3 linked regions of the Drosophila melanogaster genome follow. The protein of the gene in region 3 interacts with the protein of the main gene of each other region in a pairwise test. Each region holds a gene or a part of one and is shown on either strand. Other genes may lie near its edges. The genes, in order: CG11164, ara and HHEX.

What was found.
Region 1: the proteins of HHEX (region 3) and CG11164 interact in a two-hybrid assay, tested with the Drosophila melanogaster proteins (one large-scale study listed by BioGRID).
Region 2: the proteins of HHEX (region 3) and ara interact in a two-hybrid assay, tested with the Drosophila melanogaster proteins (one large-scale study listed by BioGRID).

The regions. Positions count from the first base shown.
Region 1 is NC_004354.4:13,666,014-13,671,093, reverse strand, and holds CG11164 (uncharacterized protein), read right to left. Parts: upstream 3,081-5,080; 5' UTR 3,008-3,080; coding exon 2,647-3,007; intron 2,575-2,646; coding exon 1,913-2,574; 3' UTR 1,521-1,912; downstream 1-1,520. Other genes in the region: CG15760 (uncharacterized protein), read right to left, coding at 445-534; DNAlig4 (DNA ligase 4), read left to right, coding at 3,354-3,666, 3,734-3,898, 3,958-4,868, 4,931-5,080.
Region 2 is NT_037436.4:12,577,667-12,582,746, forward strand, and holds the start of ara (araucan), read left to right. Parts: upstream 1-3,005; 5' UTR 3,006-3,436; coding exon 3,437-3,487; intron 3,488-5,080. UniProt on the Drosophila melanogaster protein: Controls proneural and vein forming genes. Positive transcriptional controller of AC-SC (achaete-scute). May act as an activator that interacts with the transcriptional complex assembled on the AC and SC promoters and participates in transcription initiation.
Region 3 is NT_033777.3:21,078,776-21,083,855, forward strand, and holds the start of HHEX (hematopoietically expressed homeobox), read right to left. Parts: upstream 2,152-5,080; 5' UTR 1,909-2,151; coding exon 1,419-1,908; intron 1-1,418. Other genes in the region: RhoGAP93B (Rho GTPase activating protein at 93B), read right to left, coding at 5,071-5,080.

The sequences.
Region 1 (5,080 bases), on a different chromosome or scaffold from region 3:
TCTTGTGCTCATATTTATGTTTGTGTGCTATGCATTTATTACCGTTGGGAAAGCAATCGCAATCAATTTAAAATTCAAATGTGCATGCAACATGGATGCGCTTGCGTTTATTTAAAAAACTTTTTACAAAGATTAGCTGTTATCTTTTTTTAAGGCGTTTCGTGGGCCCAAATTGCAACAAGCGCACAATAATTGTATTTAATCAAAATATTACAGTGTTGAAAACCAAAGTTTAAATTGCTCGCACATACAAAGGTTCCCAAAAGCATGCAGTGAAACGTATAGTGTCTTGTTTTAAATGAATTCACAAGCGATTTTTATCACCTTGACAATTTACATGTGTAAAATGCGCTTAAAAATTAACTACAGCATAACATTTCGTTGTTTTTCGGTTATTATGCTAGTTTGAGTGCTTGCAACATTGATGAAATGAAGGGCACTTACGTTCGCTGGCAGCAGCCCCAAAAGGAGGAACAAGGAGAGCAGGAGACACTGCAGCGCGTTTGTGTGCGAGGGAGAGGGACGGAGCCACATCTTTCTCAGCCGCTGACGCTGCCTCAGTCGACGCCGCTGTCGCAGTTGCTGCTCGGACTGGCGCCAAATGTCCTACGGGGCTGGTGAGGGGAGGAGGTGCGGGGAGTGTGTGCCTCTCCCTTATTTTCTTCGATTCTTCGCTTTCTTCTTGTCGCAGCCTCCGTTTTGTGTCCGTTTTGGCCCTCGTGTGCGATTTGTTCCTGTCTTTTGTTTTGCTTTCCTATCTGGCTTTCTACTTGCTTCTTTTGCTGTTGATACTTTGCAGTTCCGTTATTTGTACCACATGCTGTTGTTGCTATTGTTGTTGTGGTCGGACTCACACAAACAGCGCTTTGTTTTGTCCTTGACAGACGCCAAATGCAATTTACCGTAGCATGCTTTTGTGCGTTGCGTTGCGATTGTTGGTGTTGCTGCCGTTGTTGTTGCTGCTGCTGCAGAGAAGAGAGAATTTGTTGCTAACTGAGTGCTGCATTGTATTATTTATCTTATGCCACACCAACCACAACACATTCGCACACACACATACACACACACTAAGGCACAAACACCTCGACGACGCCAAAGAAAATTTTCTTTCGTGTGACGCCACTCTTTTCCTTTCTCTGCCTTTCACAATTTAAACTTGAGCACTGGCTTTGGGACACACGGCTAACGGGAAAATTCACTAATGTAACCCCTGTAATTGTTGTTCCGAAAATTCAAGGCATATAGAAAACAACAACAACAACAAGAGCAGGAGTAGCAGGATATTCGGTTGCGGGCGAATGGGTAACGGGGGTGGCGAAATGCGAATCAAGGCGCAAAGCGGAATTCACCGTTAGCCTCGAACGTGGGAGCGCGCACAGCAACAACTGAGCGACAAAAACGGAAACAAAGGAGCCAGCAGCTTTGTAACTGACGGCCAGGATTGCCACCCCGCGCAATGAACTAAGGATTGAAATCATATGTGTTGCATGAATCCCCAAAAATTAATTTCGTTTCTAGTTAGTTTTATTAGTATACTCTGATTTCATATGTTTAATTAGCATTACTTAATATGCTTATATGGTATACCTAAAAAAATATGTCGACTAAGAAACTCTTTATTCGCAACATTTGGCACTGAAGCCTCTAAGTAAACCAATTCCTTAGAAGCCTGGCAACGCCAACAGCTGATGGGGATTTACCAAACGGAATCAAGAGAGATGATCAAACAGCGCATGCGCCAAAAAGGCGCACTTTCAAAATACCAAATTTATGAATACAAATCTTAAAATAACAAAAGTAATTCTTTAAAGTACTATATTCATTGTAAAAAAAAGTGTACATTTGTATTAAATAGAGTATATATATAAAATAAGGAGTTAAAACCTATTCTTAAGATCTGTGAAACGTTAATCTACTTCGCTTTGAAAAACGATGCGATGCTTTTAGTGCCCTTGGCTCCTTTGGCCAGGGCCTTCTCCTTGGCGGTCAGCGAGCGCTCCTTCAGAGGCGCCGCTGTGGGCGATGTGATGGTGGCATTGGGATCGCCATCGCTGTCCACTAGACCGCTGGACTTTAGCTTGGCAGCAGCATCGCTCTCATTTAGCTTGATCTTCTTGGAGTCGCTGCCCTCGTTCTTGCCCGCCACCGACTTGCGCTTCTGAGAAGCTGCTTTCTCCTCAACAATCGCCTGAATCTCGCTAGGAATGTGCAGGTAACTGGTGAGCAAGCCGTGCAGATCCGCATCCAAATACCGTCCCACATAATCGCAAGCCATGCGCGTGTAGTCCATTTCGTTGCTAACGTTCTCAGCTACCAGTTTCTCGCTTCGCACGAAATTCTGCGACTGCGCACTGTGGCCGCAGTGGACTTGCTTCTCCTTCAGGATCTTCGCCACCTGGCGCGTCTTCAGAGCCAACCAAGCCAATGTGCGCTCTTGGTTGTACTTGTAGAACTTCTGTTCGCCAGAGCTCTTCACATCTGCCACGCATTTAAGGTTCCCTGGGTCGAGGATCTCGTTAAGCAGACGACTGGTGCTGGCCTCCTCCACGGCAATGTTGTCCAGCGATATTGCTCCTGATTGTGGTTAAAGATTTTCAAGAATACAATAGTATAGTATACCATCGAAAGCGAATGATAATATCTTACTTTGCGCACAATGTTTTCGGAGGTGATGAAGAGCCAGGAACGTGGGATCCACGGGCGCGGTCATGTAGATTCTGCCGTTGGAGCAGACCTCGCTGTCCACGAACCAACTGCGTCGGGGTTCCGTGAACGCCACCAGCTCCATCATTCTGCCATCGGGATGGGTTATGAACAGTGCCTCCTTGCCATGTCCGGGATGGAAAAACATCTCCAGCCGAAGGTGTCCGTCGTCCGCATCTTTGGGCAGCAGTTCCTCCGACATGAAGAACACCTTCTTCAGTGCCGAGGCCTTGCACATCTTGGCAGATCCCTCCGCATCCGGATCAGCTTTTGGTTTTCTCGCTCGCGTTTCCTTTTTGCCCATTTTCTCGAATAACTTGCCAAGCGTGAAGCAAAAGTCAATAACTGTGGACCGAACCAAAACAAACGATTTGCCGCCTTTTTGGTTATTGATAGAAGTCTATCGATTAATTTTGGTATTTTATATAGTCTGCTAATTTTAACTTGTTCCTATAAACTATTTTATCTATTTTATGCCAAATAGAAGAGCTTAAAAATTAAATAATCTCTGCCACTAACGTCCGCATCTTAATATTGCAACTAGTCTAAAATGGGTATTAACTTTGATTGAGAAGCGCGGTCACATTGCTTGAACAGATGTTCACAGTGATGAAATTGTTTACAACAGTATATTGTTTTTAAACAACAAAATGAGCGTAGATATAGCCAGCACGATCAAGTTCCGGGATATTTGCAGCCTGTTCGAGAAGATTAAGGCCACGCAAAAGGTGGCTAACAAGGAGGAGGTCCTCAAGAGCTACTACGAGTCCTTCTGTCGCCACCGCGAATCCTTTCGCCGGCAAACCGGATTAAACAACGACCAGCCGGAGGACGGTGCCAGTAGCTTCTATTCCGTGCTGCGACTGCTGCTTCCGGGTGCGGACACTGGTCGGGATACCTATGGATTGCAGATCACCGCGCTGGGCAGGCTCTACATCAGGGTGCTCCAGCTACCCACGGACTGTGAGTGCAGAAACGTATTGGCAATGGCATTTAGGCTTATTTAGAATCTCTTTGTTGTCTCTACTAGCCAGCGATGCCATCAGGCTGCAGCACCGCAACGGAAACATGTACCGGGACTACGGTGATGTTGTTTATTCCGTGCTTAAGCCAAGGTGCTTTAATCCGCCCAGCAATTTGAGACTGAAAGAAATCCATCAGATGCTGGACACCATTGCCAACGAGGACACAGAAGGTGGGCGCTTTTAAACTGATCTGAACGACTGAACGTCTTAATGAGACCGCTCTTTGCAGTTAAGCAGCAGCAACTCATCCGGTTTACGGAGCAGGCCTCGCCTGAGGAACAGAAGTGGCTAATTCGGTTGCTGCTTAAGAGCCTCGGGCTGGGGATCGGTGAGCAAAAGATTTTCGGTGTGCTGCACCCCAAGGCGCAGGATATCTACCAGCGCTGCTCCGATCTGGGACATGTGTGCAATCTGCTGGCAGACCGAACCACCGACCTAGACGCCAGCAGCAGCAAGGACAGCAAGGCGGCGGTCAAGTTTGTAAACCTGAATTCCGTCATACGGCCATTCCACCAGATACGTCCCATGCTGTGCGAACGATTCCCCGGTGACATCCAGGAGCTGATGCAGTCGGATGTGCTCTATCTGGAGACCAAAATGGATGGCGAACGCTTTCAGCTGCACATCGATCGGGGTCGTTTCATGTACATTTCCCGCAATGGAGTGGACTACACCAGAAACTTTGGTCACAGCTACGATCACGGCACCTTAACGCCAAAGCTGAGGGGACTTCTGCCGCTGGGTCTGGAGTCTATCATACTCGACGGCGAGATGATGGTGTGGGATACCAACAAACTGCGCTTTCGGGAAAAAGGCGAGAATACGGACGTGAAGAGCCTGAAGCCGGAGGGCAGCTGGCAGCCATGTTTCGTGGTGTACGATCTGCTATATTTTAATGGCCAGAGTCTGCTGGACCATACCTACATTCAGCGGGCGTACAAATTGCAGAAACTCATAGTTGAACAGTCGGGTGTGCTGCAGTTGATGCGTGCACGCAAAATCGGTTCCGTTCAAGAGTTCAACGAGCTGTTCCAGCAGGCACTCGACTCCCACGCCGAGGGCATTGTGCTAAAGAAGCAGGGATCAAGATATCAGCCTGGCGTTAGACTGGGCGGTGGGTGGTACAAGGACAAGGCTGATGTGAGTAGAGTCATTTTTAAGTAGAGTGCTTTAATATGAACTCACTTCAATTTTCCAACCAGTACATCAAAGGGCTGATCACCGAGTTCGATGTGCTGATCATCGGGGCATTCTACAATCGCAAGCGCACCTTTGTGGACTCATTTTTACTGGGCGTTCTCCAGCCGGCGCCGCCAGGCAGCTCTAATCGTCCCGAAGTCTTCAGTATTGGA
Region 2 (5,080 bases), on a different chromosome or scaffold from region 3:
TTTCAGTCCGCAGTCTCGGATCGACGAGGACTTTTTCGAGAATTCTTGCCACTCGATTCTCGAACTCAGAGGGTGGTCAGTGTGTGGCTGCCGCAAATGGAAACGCCCCATGTGGTTGCCACTCGTCGTCGTCTGGTGTGTACCATCATGCTGACCCATTGATTGATTGCATTTGGCCCGTCGCTGCCACGCCCCCCGCCGCCACTCCGCCCACAGACCCCCGGCCACCCCCTCTTGCGTCCTTCCCTTTTCGTCCGGCGATTGCAAAAGCGCCACTCGTAAAACGCGCAACACAGCAAATATTGTACTTAACACCCGGAGGGGCACTTGGAACGGACTCTACGCTCTTGTTGCCGCCGCTGCACTCGAAAAAAATACGTGCTCCCATTTAGAATAAATATTTTTAAAAGGCCTTTTGCTAAGAAAACTACCTTAGAAATATTAGGAATAGGCTCAATTTTTAATACTTATATTACGAACTTTTAGAAGCACACTTTATATAGCTTAATTATTTTATGGCATAATTAAATAATATGTACATTGAAAAATATGCATTATATATTTATAAATTATGTATGAAATTTATAAACAACCTTTAGTTTTTCATATTTAATCTATTATTTTTCCAATTTTAAAAGCAAACTTACTAATGTTTACCAATAAATTCTATACACCTTTATCGAGGTTCCTGTAAGTGATCCCCGATTTTGGCCAAGTGTGCGACTGCCGCTGGGTTTTGCCTTTGGCCTCGTCATGACTTGGCTTCCCTTGGAATTAATTCACATTTGGGTTTTGGTGGGGGCAACAGCTTTGGTCATTTGTTGCTTTCAGCTAACACGCTGCTCTCATTTTCCGGCGCTGCTGGGCCGCGGTGGGTGGGGTGCCACCACCCCCAGTACCACCCATATCCACTCACCATAGCCACTCCATACTGCTCTATTCTACCCACACTTCCAGCCACACCACGTGGATCGTTTCATCCACACACATATATCTTATGCGGAGCGAGGTGAGGACACGCCCAGACCTTATGGCGCAATTCCGTCGTGTAAGTCGCACTTTTTCGGTTTTATAGGTTAATTTGCTTTTATTACATTATCATAAAAATAAACAAACGACAAAAAAAAGAAGAAGAGAAGAACAGGAGAACAAACAAAAACACGCTGCAAACAAGCTTGCCAACATCCGCGGCACCCGCAAAAACATTTGAGGTTTACCTCATCTCCCCCATCACATCGCATCACATCCACGGCGGACTCTCCATTTCCGGAATGCGTGTCCTCGACCGGAGAATTCATCCTGCCGGAGAATCGTAATCGTAAAAAATAGATCGTAAAGCGGATGTCCAAATATGTTAGTGCGCATTAATAGCAAAAACTTTTTTCCAAATCCAGCATTTTCACGGGCTCATGTGCAATATGCGGGTACCTTTTACACACTAAACTTATGGAATTTTATAAATATAGTTAAAAGTTCATAATAAATATGGTGTAAGTGAAAAAGTGGGCCATTCCTTGCCCTAAATTTGACAGTATAATATATATTTTTTATGATTTCTTAAAAGACCGAACTTTCTGCAAAACACACGAGGTTTAAGTTATCTCTAAAAATATCTTAGAAAAATCAATTTTTTTTTTCAATTAATGTATCATAGTGCAGAAACATACGTTGCATGCAATTTATCAAAAAGAAAATTAGGTCAGGCTTTTCTTGTTTTTCGGATACACGTCAAGTGCTATTTAATTGCAATTAAAATTGCTTATGTTCTAGAAGATATTTTAAGTGGCGAAATTAAATTGGCTAGCATATTTAAGTAGCATAACAATTAGTTTAGTTAGATAATTAAAGTATTTTAATTGCCATAAATATTGTTCGCCAAAGTATCGCAAATGTTGAAAATACTTAAATGATCTGTGTCTGTTAAAAAGCAATTGCAGTAAAAAAATGCAATACACATTTTATAAAAAATTTAAAATGTCTCAAAGTTAATATATGTTATGATTACTAATAACATAACCTAAGCTAAGTAAAAATCTGGTTGATATTTAAAAATCCCAAGAATTAATGGTATGATTGCCTGTTTGAGTAAGGATATTAATTCCTTCCATAAAAAGTTAAAATCTTGTTGATAATTTAAGTAACTGGTATCCAAGTGGAATGATATTTAAACAAAGATCGCTGGAAATGTTTCATTTAAACCCGAATTAGGAGAGATTAATTAGTGAGGATCGATAATGGGAGTTAACTAAAGTGCAATGCAGCGATAAAGATAATGACAGACGATAAATACAGTGCGAGTGTCTTGGAATTTGCTGATCTTATTAACGCTTTTGTGTCGCCACTTTTGGCCATCGCAGCACTTTGTTGCCACTTCCAGCTGGCGATCGCTGGTGGCGCACTTCCAGTCGATGGGCGCGCAATTGTGAAAAGTAAACAAACAAATGACTAGCCAAACAAAACAAATGGGCGTTGCCCGGGAATTGTGGGTAAAACAAGAGACCATCGACAGTTGTGAAAATGCGTCCCGCTCCCTACCCACTTCCTCTCCCTTCACCATCCGCTCATTTCATTTGTATTTTCTTTTCTTTGCTTTCTTTCGCCTGGCGACCTCGCACCTGTCCATTAAATCAGCCAGCCGAAGCTCATGCAGCCCTACGATTGGTGGTTGCGCTGGCCTCACTTCCAGTGAGCCGCGAATACGAGTCACTGGCGGGGAATCGGATTGGAATTGCGGAGAGAGCGACCGGCCAAATGCCACCACCAACACCAGACAAAACCGGAGAACGGTGGGCGTTGCTCTAGAGTGCTTACACTTCCAGTCTGCCGACTCCGTTATTCTTGTTGCTCGCTCCAAGGCGAGCGGCATTCCGTTTCTCTTTCGATGGGGGGAGGCAGCATATTGTTGTCCCGCTTCCGCGCCAACTGCAGCGGAATGCGCCCCAACAGCGCAGCAACAACAACAGCAACAGCAGCAGCAACACGGCCAACAGCAACGGCATTCGCAACCAGTTCGTGTTCGAACGTTATAAGGTGCACATCTGAAAGGGAGCGTGTGCTGAAGCGCCGCGTTTTTGCCGTCGATATTTCGTCGATTTTTCGTTGCCGCCGCGTTTTGCGAGTGCTGTTAGCCAGAAAAAAAAATAAAATATATATAAACAAAAATCCACCACAAGTGACAGCTGCAACTGCAAATACCAAACAAATCCACGAGATACTTTCGGTTGGCCCAATGTCGTTATGGTCGTTATCGCCAGTGCCCACTGTGAACAGACCCAATCGAAACTGAGCTGTTAAACCCCCGATAAGCACATCATTTGATGTAGCAGCTTCACCGTATATCCTTCAGCAGACTGCCCACGAGCGAGAGAGAGAGAGAGAGAGAGAGAGAGAGTATCTTAAGACTAGGTCTTATATAGTCGTATAGTCATATAGCGAAATGGCTGCCTACACACAATTCGGATACGGAGGCTTTCCGTCGGCCTCGCAGGTGGGTCCTCTAATTAACTAAATTTGATCTAGATGTATATACTATATGATGGCTATTCATATTCATTAAGTAGCAAGAGATCTCAAGATAACTAGAGGAATGAAAATGTTTATTAACTGCAGATATGGGAACCTATTTAGATACAATATTATTCATACGACTGATATAATCAACTGATTATTGTAATTATGATTGCCTTAAAGATTCATAATTTTTATGTTTGGAGGTATTAAAAACAGAGGTCACAAGCAAAAAGCGTTGTAAAATCATATTTTTTCATATACATATTTAATTTTTCTATTTATAATCACAACTATCTTTTCTGGAGTGCGTTCCATCATTAAAACTGAACCCGTTATCTGAATATTTTTTCTAAAATTTTTTTCCTAAAAAAGCTTGGTTGGGTTTAAATTCTATTTGTGTGTTTTTTAAGCAATCCTTACCACCAACTTTCATCTGAGTACTTCCACCGACTCCAGTCAAAGTTATCCGATTATTTGATCTTGAGGACCCACTATAGGGCAAAACCGCTAAAAGTCTTTGATTGTAGCGCTTTTGGACTTTTCACTAAGCAGCAAAAACAGCTGCTTGAGGCAAACTTTTTCCATGTTTATGACAGTAAATTGGTGGCAGGCCAGCAAAAAACCATAATAAATCAGATGGCTGATAAATGGCCTGAGAAAAAGCCACTCCGAGGAATCAGGCGTTTTTGTCAACCTTCAAAATTCACACAAAAAACGATTCGGCGTTTTAAAGATGTTGCACAAAATTGCGCGGCTTGCAGGTGCAACTAAAATATTTGTAAAATATTGTGATAAATTACAAAAGTTGTAGAAGCTTTCGAAAGGCCTAGAGTAAATTAAATTTCCTATTGATTGCGTTTGCCTGGGCTAAACTTTAATTTCCCAGGCCATAATACTTGGTTACCAATTGCCTGGTTCTTCCTCCAAAGAACTCTGGCGTCTTTCCCATTTCGGACCACACGAGCCCAATTAACTAAAGTCGAAAACGAAAGCAAAAAAAAAAAAAAAAAACTAAAGAAAAAGGAAAAGAAAAAAGGGAAAAGCCTTGGCAATCAGAAGGCCAAGACGATGGGAGGTGCCGATTGAGGCACGCTCAGGTGAAACTGTTGAAAAGTCAATAAAATTCAATTGCGGCGATCGTAAATCATAAAATTCATAACCGTAAAGTGACAGCTGAGGGCAGGCTCTGGGAATGCCCTCCTGGCTACGTGAGGAGCATCCATTGAATCTGGAGATGGCAGATAGGATAGCATCCGAATCCCAACGAACACGATCGATGGACCAATGACTTGGCTCCACTCTGATCTACTTTACATTGGCTTCGTTTTGGGGAGTGAGGAGAATGAGCGGAGTGCGGCTCCAAGTGGCGCTTATAGTCCGGTGCTATCAACTTGGTCATCTGGAGGAGATTGTCGGGGGAGGCACTCGGATGCAGAATCGCGGTAGCCTGGCCGCTTTGGTGGACCCACGAGATACAAGCTGCGATTAGATCGCTGCGTTTGCGATTCACAGAAATTTCCAAAGCCAGTGCAACTCAGAAGTTGGGTATCTGGCATTGGGCATTGGGTAC
Region 3 (5,080 bases):
ACTACAATTATATCGAAAGATACTGCCTGTGATAATTGTGTGTTATCCAAAGGTTTAAATGAGTATGATTTCTCACAGTCCGTCTAATTCGCAGCAGCTCGATTTTCCCAAATCAACAGCTCAATGCCTTTCAATGAAAACTAACTGTCACTTAAATATCCATAGATATAGTTTCTGCTGTCTCTCACCTGAATTTCAAATATTTGTCACTTCTGATAAGCCACCGAAATATTTTCCGATCTGAATGGGGCATTTGTACTGCGAGGGGATGGAATTCGGGACTTTGACTTTATCAGCATTGCTAGGGCTAATCTACCGTTACACCACCGCCCAGAAAACCAACCGGGAAATGCAGTTTTTGGGGCGGGGAAAATGTGATTTCGAGTGGCATTGGCGCCAACACTTGACTTTGACAAATACCCAACTGCACCACAACACACACACATTAATCATGTTTATGGCCCATTTTGTGTGGGATCCCCATTGTAATATTCGGTGGTCCGGGCACTTCGGACTTAGGCTAGCTTAGATATTTGGTATTTAAATGGGGATTTCAGGCAACACCTTTCCCATGGCGATCAATTTCCATGTGTCAACTTGATGAGCGAGATTAAGGTGTCAGCATGGGTAGGTTCAATGACTTGAACTTGGTAGTGTCGAATCAATCCTAGTCTTTGCTAAAAACTGTGAGAAAGTCTAATAGAAACTATGGTTCCAAGCTTCATGAATAAGAATTTAAGAATAGGGATTTAACATATCATACTCTGAGAATGCTTCTGCCTTTATCTGCATTTTAGTGTTTAATTGATAATTGTAGCGCTTATTCATTCATATTCAGGTGACTCATTTCCGGTCATTTGATAGTATGATGAAATATGCTAATGAGGTCAAACGACTAAATTGTTGATAGACATCATTGGGCTAATAGATTTCTCAAAACCGCATTAATTAATATATTAGTCAATTATTTTATGAGCTTGTCAATAACTTGACCTAAGGGTTTCAACTGCGTTTGCATGTATGTATACAGCTCGAATAATTGAATAATTTTGATCTTATTCTAGAATTTTTTTTAATAAAGAAATGCTGTATTGTCTTCATTCATAATGTCGAATAAATATACTATACTTCTTGGCCTTATAACTGCTTTACAATCTTTTGAATTTGCTGAGATTAGATTGCATATAATTTAATATTTCATTTCTATACCTTTTCTATAGCTCTGTGGAAATACCATAACTTTATAATAAATTTGTAATGTCTTCTCCTCATGCACCCTTATTTTAGTGAATGATTTATCATAAATTACCACAAAAATTAAGCAATTATCTTGAAAATGAATCTTTATCTTTTAGGACATTCAACACCCAACTAAAATACATGTTAACCCCACTAAGTAGGTATTCTGAAGTACTCACCTTCGCAGTCCATGGTAAATGGACTGTATTGATCACAATAGGCTGTTGGCTGAACAGCGGCTGCGGCGGCAACAGCGGCCGCCTGGAAGTGGGGCATGAAGAGCGAGGGATTCTTCTGGAGCTGCAGCACCTGCTGGTAGAAGAGCGAGGCGGGATCCGGGTAGATGGGATTGAAGCGCAGCGAAGTGGGAGCCAGGACAGCACTGGAGTCCATACTCTTCATGGCATACTGGGCGGCAGCTGCCTCGCGGGATAGATCGTAGATGTTGGTGGCGGACGATGGAGAGGGTGTAGGCGCCGCGGAGGATGATCCAGTGGCCAAGGATGCCTTGGGCATGGCCAGTGCGTGTGGAGTAGCTATGCCTGCTGTTACCGCCACGGGACTTTGAGAGGAGCCTCTGCGCGATTGAGATCGATGCGAGGAGCTCTTCTGCTCCAAGATATTCTCAATGGAGAAGGCGGCCTTGCTGGACTTGGTGGCGATATCCATATTGGTGGATTCTGAGAGCGGTAGTAACGAACTGTAGATACCGATTGATTGGGTCCGGAGCGATCGAAGCGACTGCGTCGGCCGCAGGCGATGAACTAATGGCCACCAGCTGTAGGAGCCGTCGCAGAGCCCATGGGCGCTATAAATTGTACCAAATCTGATTTCACAGAATATAATAGATTGTACCTATAATGTTGTGCTAATGGGTAGATATCAATATTAACAATAATAGAGCGGTATGTAGATATGCCGCGCATGGGAGATAGTGCCGAGCTACCGGCCATCGATTGATAAGCGAGTGGTGGTTGGTTAGGCGCTCCACTGCCTCGATGGCACTCCACTCCACTCCACTCGATTCCTATTCCCAATACCCAATACCCATATTCCAATTTCCAATTGCAGGCGGCGACAGCTCGACATCGGTACGCGGTTGGACACCCAATCGGCGATCGTTGTATAAATCACAGTCCCTGCTCGCCCGCTTATTGAGCTGCCAACCCATCGAACCCACCACCCAACCACCCAACCACCCTCCCCCAGAACGCCTCCCACTCGGCGGGTCGGTGCGTTTGATCGAGTAATTGTTAATCACCCCTTATCGGTATCGTTACCTGGTTTCAGCTCTCAGCTACTGTTTGGCTATTTTACTCTGTTGATTGTTGTTGTAAACAAATTAAAATTGCCCCAAAAGGCACCCCCCACCCTACCCCCTACCAACACCATCAGAGAGCCATCGCTTTGATTGAGTAATCGAGTTTGTGTTATGATTTCGGCCATGGTGCCGTCCCTCTCTGCTCTTTGGGAACAATATATGCGTCTGTATACCTGGGGCATGGATAGGTGTTTCGGGGTGTCTTATCAGTTGTACTCGGGCTCCTCGTAAAGCCTCTCAGATGATGGATTACTTTTGATTTCGGCTTGGGCCGGGTGATAAAATGGAAAACGCACAGCCCATAAATGCCTTTAATTGTTGTTATTGTTACTGATAGATACCCCTTTGATGTTGTTTTTCAGGTCGCCCCAGAAATTGGTACCTTCGAGATAAGTTTTGGGCCTCGACGAGTTTCGGGAACAATGAAAATCTTTAGTTTCCGCTGGTGGAAAGGATGTTATCATGTCTTCGGTTCACACGATGAGTAGAAAGTAAAGAGTTAAAAGTTCTTCAAGTTTTGTGATTTTGCTAAATGGTGACTACTTTAAATTGGCAGGAGTTCAATCGAAACTGTATGACTTCACTACATATGACAATGACTCAAATTCATGTGATATTTGGCAATAAACCTATTTCTTTTGATATGATTCGCTGAAAAGTGATTTAATGAATTGCAAATAGAATTTTCGGGGGTTCTTCGTTGAAAAGGGGCAGTAAACTACAGTCAATCGATTGGTGATTAAAATTTTATGACATCAAAATTTTAAAAATAACTCTTTGAACATCATACATATATTATATTTTATGTTTCTGTTCGCATAATAATTGATATACCTTAATGGAAAGCACCTTGACTGAAAAAGAGATTAAAACATTTAGGAAACTAATTTATGCAAAGCCTGCTTTCCAAGATATGAAGGAAAGGAAGCCCATACAACATGCTACCGAGTGCACTTGTAATCCCCGGACATATCACTTCGACGCTTCATCATGAGCAGACACTTGTTGCTCTGCTAACTGATAGTCAGTTGTGTGATCCCCGACAAAATCCCATCGATATAACGTTTTGCACCCGAAAAACCCAACTGACGGCCATTTTGTGACATATCACAAGGTGAGTATTCAAATTTATCAACATGAATGGTTCGAATAGAGTATTCGGGGGTCTGATGGTTGGTCAGAAGGAAGCTCTCAATGGTAAGTAATGACCATTCAAAAAGTATTTTGTACTTTACAGAAACAAATTATAACATAATAATGAATAGTTAATAATGAATGGTGAATGGTGATAAAAATAAAATCGTTTTTCGGTGCTATGCGATAACTAAATGCGACCAATTCGAGACATTGACGAGGCCTACTGCTCGATAAGAAGCCATGGCCTGGGGGGCTTATGGTCGTCAAGTGAGGCTAAATTATTAGCAATTATCAGGAGACAAACGGTTTGAAATGACTTCGAAATTGGGCATAAATAATTGTGGCACGCATTAATAACAGCAAAGAAAGAACCGGCTGAATTTGTAATCCCCTCCAATGGGCATGTGTTTCGATGACAAGATGTCGATATTGTTTCCAACTTCATTTTACATTTATAACTTTATTCGATCGCCTCGCAAGCTGTAGGTTTCAATACATATATATATATATATATATATATATATATACATATTTTCACTTGACTTGTTCTCCATGAAGTTGCGTTTGATTCGAACATTATCATATTTATTTATCTTCATTCTTTTATTTATGCAAATGAATAAATATTTGTATATAGCACTACGTTGGCTGCGAGTAATTAATAAGCATCATTTCATCATTGACCTCTTATTGCATTTGATTCACTTATCTCTCTCTCTATCGGCTCTCCTTTCTGATCATCCTTTGCATATAGTGTACATACATAATAATATATATAGAGTTTAATTTAAGTTATCGTTAGCTTTATTTTATAACTATTTATAGGCTTCGCAAGAAGTTATTCAAGGTCTGCTTTGCTTCGCATTGTTTGAGAGTTAAGAGTTTGAGTTTCTTTGAGTATTTGCTTGCTTGCTTGCTTTGATTTAAATTCCATTTAAAGAAAAACAACAGTTAAAATGCAAAATAAATTAATTCAACTACAATTTGAGACATAACTAGGCATGCACACATTGAGTTCTCAGTTTTGGATTCATCTTTCAGTTATTTTTGGTTTGAAAAAGCACTACGGGTTACAAGATCGTCGAGTATTTGGGGTTGTTGCCATTGTTCTGAACAAGCTTCCTAGTCATTACGAAATAAAATTAAATCCATCGACTTTTCGTCCTGATAGCAATTAGTGAGAAAGTTCGAGTAGCAAACGAGTTAAAGTTAAAGTAGGAGTTAGGATTAATCTTCATCATCATCCTTTGTATAAATACAAATTGAGTTAAAGTTAGATTTGGTAGGTAGTAAGTTAGGATAGGTTCATAACGATTTGCATATTGGTAGATTGGTAGGCAGGTCGTTTGCCCTTTTGGATGGCTAACAGACCATTAGACCAGA